Ovis aries: one gene and its partner. The protein of the gene in region 1 binds, or shares a complex with, the protein of each later gene. Links are inferred from orthologs where the notes say so. Each region holds a gene or a part of one and is shown on either strand. Other genes may lie near its edges.

The links. Proteins that work in one complex are often made in the same cells at the same time.
Region 2: the proteins of MED23 (region 1) and MED24 are in contact, whole or in part, in a cryo-EM structure (PDB 7EMF), measured with the Homo sapiens proteins. The link is inferred for Ovis aries from reciprocal best matches to the Homo sapiens genes MED23 and MED24. Residues at the interface, in NP_004821.2 of Homo sapiens: Asn150, Thr151, Val152, Ser153, Ser154, Glu193, Gly194, Leu196, Pro197, Trp199, Leu201, Gly202, Asn203, Ser206, Asp207, Asp210, Arg213, Tyr258, Asp259, Lys260, Phe263, Ser1133, Arg1139, Ser1176, Glu1180, Glu1182, Trp1183, Val1184, Tyr1186, Arg1189; in NP_055630.2 of Homo sapiens: Lys238, Thr239, Leu280, Leu283, Lys287, Val291, Glu295, Cys336, Glu339, Phe340, Lys343, Leu344, Thr345, Pro346, Leu347, Asp349, Lys350, Gln353, Lys384, Glu720, Lys721, Trp723, Thr756, Arg757, Lys758, Glu759, His760, Met802, Asp803, Pro804.

Annotation. Positions count from the first base shown.
Region 1 is NC_056061.1:57,041,118-57,044,770, forward strand, and holds part of MED23 (mediator of RNA polymerase II transcription subunit 23), read right to left. Parts: intron 3,418-3,653; coding exon 3,319-3,417; intron 2,539-3,318; coding exon 2,437-2,538; intron 1,985-2,436; coding exon 1,915-1,984; intron 750-1,914; coding exon 637-749; intron 1-636. UniProt on the Homo sapiens protein: Required for transcriptional activation subsequent to the assembly of the pre-initiation complex. Component of the Mediator complex, a coactivator involved in the regulated transcription of nearly all RNA polymerase II-dependent genes.
Region 2 is NC_056064.1:40,098,397-40,102,049, reverse strand, and holds part of MED24 (mediator of RNA polymerase II transcription subunit 24), read left to right. Parts: intron 1-2,814; coding exon 2,815-2,853; intron 2,854-3,205; coding exon 3,206-3,279; intron 3,280-3,644; coding exon 3,645-3,653. UniProt on the Homo sapiens protein: Component of the Mediator complex, a coactivator involved in the regulated transcription of nearly all RNA polymerase II-dependent genes.

The DNA of each region.
Region 1 (3,653 bases):
TTGTACTATTTTACCCTCCTTCATTTTGGGATAAGTTTCCCAATCACTCTCTACATCATTTTTGACATGAAACATTTACAGAAAACTATTCGGCCCTCCCTATAACCTGCTCTGTCATTCCCTCCAAACCCCAAGATAGTAAGACAAATCTGCCATATGTGTTTCATCATAGCTTTATGTCTATATCTCATATTTCATATTATGGATATATGTGGATTTTTCTCCTTGAGAAATTTCTACTCTACTTTTGTCCTTCCCCACCTCTCCCCTTCTGAAAAAAATACAACCAATAAGGAGGCTCACTCTTCAAGTTTTAGGGACACTGCAAATTCATGTTTGGTCCTTGCTTTGTAAAGGAAGAGTGAAAACAAGGAATCAATTTAAAAATTCAATTTTCTAACACCAAGTACTTGGCCAGAAGTGGACCGCTGGAACATTAACACCTGCAATATCACAAACAACAGGCTAAACTTGGATCCTGAAATCATATGACAAAAACCATAGTTTATGGTTATAAACTATCTTTCATTGAATACTTACTTTTTCAGTCTATGAAGAGACAATTTAGCATCACACAATATATAATCTTGGATGAAGACTGATGGATCAAAAGCATCATTATATTGAACAACATACCTTATCATATGGCAAAAGGCCTTTCAAAGGAAAACGGAGAGTTGCAGGGTCCAATTTCCATGAATTACAAATGGCTCCTGAATTATTTACAACTGGTAGAAGGCTGCAACGGCCTGTAGGTATTACAAAAAATGCTTTCTAAATAAATGTGAACATAGCAATGCCTAGTCCTTCATTCACTCTACAAATAGTTAATGACTATCATGCTGAACCAGGCACTGGTTAAAAATATATTTTAATTAGCTAGAAGTCTGGGAATTTTCTTTGAATATTTTTAGCCCAGCTGGTTAAAGACCAATTTGTACAAAACTTCCAAACTCACAGATTTTGCATTTGTCCAGGGACAGAGTTCAGCAAGCTACAAGCCATGAACCAAATCCACCTGCTCTCGTTAAGTTTTACTGGAACGCTATTCCTTTTGCTCTCTAATGGCAGAGTTGAGTAGCTGTAAGAATGCATAGCCCACAATGCCAAAATATCTGTCGTGTCACCATTTATAGAAAAAGTTTACAGACCTTTAATCTCAGGTCAAACTAAGTAACTTTAAACAGGATGTTCCTAGAGGCCTTAGAAGTAGTATATGACCATTAGTCAGTTCATGTATCCAAATGCCTGATAAATACTGTCACTGGGATGTCCTGCAGGCACCTTAAGTTCAATATAACATAAACTAAATTCATCCTCACTCTTCTCAAATCTGCACCACTTTCCATAATTCATCAAATGATGTTAATATCCTCTCAGTTATGAAAGCTAAAAGCCTAAGAATTATCAGTCTAGTGTCCTTTTCATTTCTTTTTTGTATTTCCAGTGCCCAGAATAGCACTTGACTCACAGAAAGTGCTAAAACTTGGTCACTGATTAAATAAGGGTCTATAATCCCAGGCTGTTCTGAGGCTACCATGATTTCTATAAGTAATTCAGGAACATACATATGAGAACTGTAAAAACTGTAAATCATGTGATTATTTTTAAAAGGAAATTCAGAGACTTTAATAAACATGAAACAAGTGGAAAACAAAATAAATTATATACAGAGCAAAGGTGTGGCCTGGAATGGGCTGGGAGTCAGACAATGTGGTGTACTAAAGTCAGAGAGACAGATCTACTGAGACTTCTGGGTGCCTGGGGAGTAGAGTTTTATCTATAGAGTATAAAAGCTCCTAGGTTATACTAAAATGGCAAGTCACCACGACGTGTATAAGATTTCATCCGTCAACTTGGTTCAGTAGTCAGCTCACTAAAAAATATTTAAAACATTTTAAATTATAATCCTACCACAAATGGAGTTTATCCTTGCTGTTGGCCTGAAGGTATCCACAAAGTCTGATACCAGGTTTCCAAGTAACTAAAACAAAATAAAATGAAAACAAGTAAGTAGAAAAATAAAATCAAGATGCTCTGAATATGAGAATCATTTACATAAAATGAGATAATATATAAAGATTTAGTACAATTCCTGGCACATAAAACTACTCAAAGTTAGTCCTCTTTCACTTCCTCCTAAACAATTACTTACCAGTACATTTATCCCTGAATTAAGCCAGGTCATACCACCATGTCCTTAGCTATTTGATGAAGCTGTGTGTATTTTACGAAATGATATATATAAACTATCTCAACAGGACAGCAGAGAAATGAAAGAAATGCATCATAAAAAAAAAATATCACATATTATCTAAGGATCAAGTGACCATTAAAAAATAAAAAAAAAAAAAAATAAGCACACAAAAAATCAATTAATATAATAATTTTTAATACAAATTTCTATTTAAAAATTTAACAAAACATCAAATTTACCCAATGTGGAAGTTTTCCCTCAGGATATAGTTTCCTGATCTCTGTGACTGCAAAATATGCTGGTAGTAAACAAGCATTTCTTTCCAAGATATATGCTATAACCTAGGGGAAAAAAAAGGGGGCTATGTTATTATTTTGAATAGTCCCACAGATGTGCCCTTTAAATCCAACAACAATGATATTTAAAAAGTAGAGATATTATTTCATGCATTCAGTTGGCTTAAATATAGCATAAGAATTCATTTAAATGTGAATATCTAAAAATGAAGATTAATACAATGATTGCTGATAGTAAATAACAGACCAGATTCCTGATAGTAAGTAACATTGAACACGCATTAGATATTGGTAGACTTCCCTGTTGGATCAGGTGGTAAAGAATCCACCTGAAATGCAGGAGACCAAAGTTCGATCCCTGGGTCGGGAAGATTCCCTAGAGAAGAGAATGGTAACCCACTCCAGTATTCTTGCCTAGAGAATCCTATGGACAGGGGAGCCTGGCAGGTTATAGTCCATAGGGTCACAAAGAGTCAGAAACGACTGAGTGACTAACACCAACTGGAAGGCAACACACTAAACAATTCCTGCAACATTAGGTACAAAGCACAAAGATCTTTAAAGTGGCCCATAGGACAACATCTTATAATGGTTGTAGATATAATAATATCAATATTGTTGTTTTCATAATTAAAAACTATGAATTAAAATGTAAAATTTCCTTTTGAAATACAGTGGAAGTGAAATAATACCTTTAAAATATGATTTTTGTAGAAGTAAAGAAATGGAACATTTTATAAACTACTGTAAATTTTAAAAGCATGGAACTATAAAACTAGACATCTTTAGGAGATGATCAATGAATTGCAGGCAAGTTTAAATTACCTCTCTTGCTGCCAGAAGCTGCTGTACAACAGCTGAGCTCACTGTATTGGGAATTGTCAAGATTTTCTCCAAAATCACTTTTAACAGATCTCGAACACCCTGATACAACAAAAAGTCATAGATTAAATTTTTTTAAAGTCCTGGGTGCTGGTTAAAATGGCTAAAGCTTTCAAGATTATATACTTAGAAAAATATGTAACCCTCAAAGTCACACTTTTAATTTTTCTGAACCAAAGCTAACATTCAAACCCCTAACATTAACCCAAGAGAAGTGTCATGTTCCAAAGCAGAATTCTATCTAAAGAATGGCTTGCCATATGAATGAACAAAGGAAA
Region 2 (3,653 bases), on another chromosome or scaffold:
GATATGTAAACTGATGGGAAAGGCAAGAGAGGGTGGAGGCTGAAGTACCAGTGAGTGAGAAATAAATATATTTGAAAGACCTCCCTGACTTACAAAGTGCAGTGCAAAATTAGTGATTTATTCTCCCCTCAGAGTCAAGAGGCTCTTTGGTCCAGTGCTATCTCTGCATGTAGAGGGCACTTAGGAGCAGTTGAGGGCGTTGAATATGAAGAAGAGAGAGGGGATTAGAGAGCAGCTGCAGGGTCCCTCTGGGCCGGCCAGGTGTGCTCTGGGCCTTGTAGATGGGCTCCAGCCTTGGGGGCTGGTGGTAGGTTAGAGCTTCTGTGTTGGTAGATATATTAGGACTGGGATAGGTTATAAGTCCTGCTGTGAAAAACAGTTCACCATGTGGAAAGTATTTTTAGGTCTCTGAAGTAGCAGGGCTCTCTTGATACTGTTAGCAGAAATTTACGGAACAAAATTCTCAATTTGGAGACCATAAATTGGTAGTAACTGATGGCATCCCTTAAACGTACAGATTTGGGGGTTTCCTCTTGTAGTTTGGGGTCAGTTTCCAGTGGGAATGTCCAGCTCCCCCTTCAGGTTGGTATCCAGCAAGGTTCAGTTCACTGCCAAGCTCTTGCTATGGGGACATCAGTTATAAATAAACAAACACTCGCCTGGAACGTTACAGTCATCCTGCCCAGGCAGGCTCCCAACTTTCTGGCCACTGTCAGACACCAACTATGGCTTCACAGCATGACCCACTGAGAGTGGCACTAAACAGTAATTTGTGTGTTTAAGTCTTCTGTGTGTTTTGCTTCTCTTCATCCAAGAATACTGGTTAAAAAATGTCTGAACGGAGAGCAGCCTGTTCACGTGATGGAGAAATTATACATGGGAGGCATTGCCAAGCATGTAAAATTCACCATACTGAGTCACTGAGGGTGACTTAGCTTTCTTTTAAATCTTTGGAAATTTCTCTTCTTCTATGAGGCAGGTGATTAGCCTGACAGTTTCTATCATTGTATTCTGCTTTTTATTTTGATATATTTTGCCACTGACTTTGAGTGTAGAGTTGGAACTATTTTCTGTAGTCTTATTCATATTTGATCAGCATGCTATAATTATTTTTTTAAAATACAACAACTTAAAAGCTATTGGTAAAGTTTGGTTTAATTCAGGCCAGATTATTTCTTTTGAACTACATCTCCGATCTTATAATGGTGATAAGTCGGTTTTACTAATAGAAAATTGTGTTAAGGTAAAAGTTTTTTTAGAATGCTAGTTACTAGAATTCGTCAATCGAAAGCAATAAAAACTTCCTGAGGACCTACTCTGTGATAGTCCTTGGGCTAAGTTCTTGGGAAACATAAATTTAACACCGTTTCTATTCTCAGGGAGCTCACTGTTCAGGTGGCATTTTGCAAAATATGCCTTGCAGTTCTGTTAAATGAGATACCTTGGTCAAATAAGTTGGAAAAGTATTGCTTGCCTCATCTCCAGTGATCTTAGAGATTTTTATTGTGTACAAGTTACACTAATGGGTAAGAGGAGTCCTACAATAAAGAAAGCTCTTTACTGAAAGAACCCTTTTCTTTAAAGCTAGCTCTTTGTATATGTTTATTTCAGAGTTTCTCAAACTCATATCACACAGAAGCTCTGTGTATGTGTGTGCATGTATAAAATTTCTTAACATCTTGAGGACCCTTTGGAGCAACATCTGCCAATAGAACTTTCTACAATGATAAAAATATTCTACCGAGTGCAGCCAAATAAATAAAAATACTAAAAAAAATGTTCTATATCTGCACTGTCCAGTACAGTAGCCACTAGCCCCATGTGGCTGATGAGCACCTGGAATGAGGCTAGTATGACTAAGGAATTGCATCTGTAATGTTATTTAATTAATTTAAACAGCCAAGTGTGGCTGGCTGGTGGCTTCCCTACTGGACAGTGCAGCTTTGGAAGCTACTTTGGGAAATATTGCTCTGAGGGTGTGTTTCTACTTTCATTCTGCAGACACTGTAGAATGAAGACACACAGACTGTCCTCAAGGAGCTTCTAGTTTGGTGGGCATCAGGTGTCCATGGTGTCATGACAGGTCTAAGGGGATTGCTTAGAGCCAGAGGTTAAAGCGTCTGCCTGCACTGTGGGAGACCTGGGTTCGATCCCTGGGTCGGGAAGATCCCCTGGAGAAGGACATGGCAACCCACTCCAGTACTCTTGCCTGGAGAATCCCATGGACAGGGGAGCTTGGTGGGCTACAGTCCACAGGGTTGCAAAGAGTCGGACACGACTGAGCGACTTCACTTTGACTTTAGAGCACTGAGGAGGATTTCAGCTTTGGGTGATGTCCCAGAGGCATCCTAGAGAATGAGTGTGTGTAATGAAATTTCCACTACCAATTTCAAAGTGTAAATGCTACCTGTTCATTGAGGGAACAGTTTGTATGTCTCCAGTTCTTGTCCAAATAAAATCACTCTTGGTTGGAGTTATAGCAGTATCACGACCTCACGTGTTTCCATTCTTCTGCCCACCAGCAATCAGACCTTGTGCTATGTGGTGAACAGTGAGCGGCAGGCAGGCATGAAACACGGCCCCTTTGAATCCCCAAATGATCCCCCCATTTATGCTGGTGCTGTCAGTCACAGTGAATTTGACAGAAGCAAGGATGGGCACAATGCCTGGTGTTACTGCCTGTCTTTGGGGCTTGAAGGCCTCTTGAAGGGGTTGAGATTTTCAGATAGCTGCAGCAACTCTAAGTGTCAATGTTTGTTCCTCTCGATTGCACACACTGGTTGTCTGAACTTTATCTTTCTTCTTTCCCTCCAGATGGTGTCCTACTCCTCCGTTCTCACAGCTATCAGCAAGGTACGACCACAGCCACTCACAGCCTGGATGGGGGGCAGGGGACAGAGATACGGTGGTGACACATGGGGGCCCACCTCCTTGACTGCTCCGATCATGTGACCTCTGGGCCTGGACCATGAGCACAGCGTACCTCTGGCTGGTATGGCCGCCTTCCATGAGAGAGTGGGGGATCATGGCAAGTGGGGGCTGGCAACTAGGAGCCAATTTCCAACACTGAAAGGATGCCGAGTGTGAATCTTGGGGTTGGAGGAAAGATGAGCAGGGCTCCTGAAGGTGCCAGCTGCCTCATGTGGGAGACGGGGAGGTGGGGTGAGCGGGACACTCCATCGCATCGCCTTTGTTCTCTCCACAGTTCGATGACTTTTCCCGGGACCTGTGTGTCCAGGCTTTGCTGGATATCATGGACATGTTTTGTGACCGACTGAGGTAACGGCAGGAGCGAGGGGCTTGCAACCTTCCAGCATTAACTGAGTGTAGAGGAGAAGCTCCTGGCACGCAGGCTCAAACCATCTCTGTGGGTTCCCACACTTGTCCCCGCCTTGCTCTTCTGCACCCACCCATCCCCGTCTTTTTCTACTTATTCTCTTAGGGCTAAAATGCCTCTGCTCTATTTGGAGTAGCTCATTTGAAATCTTATCCAGTAGAAGCCGACAGGGCAGTCTTCCCCAGGACTTTGCTAGCTTCCCAAGTCTCTTCCCTAGTAAGGGAGGGCCAGGCACTCTGGGGAACATGGGTGTGGGTCGGATTTCAGCCTTTGGAGCGGAGACAGATTTTGCATCCTTTCCTGGTAGCTGTCACGG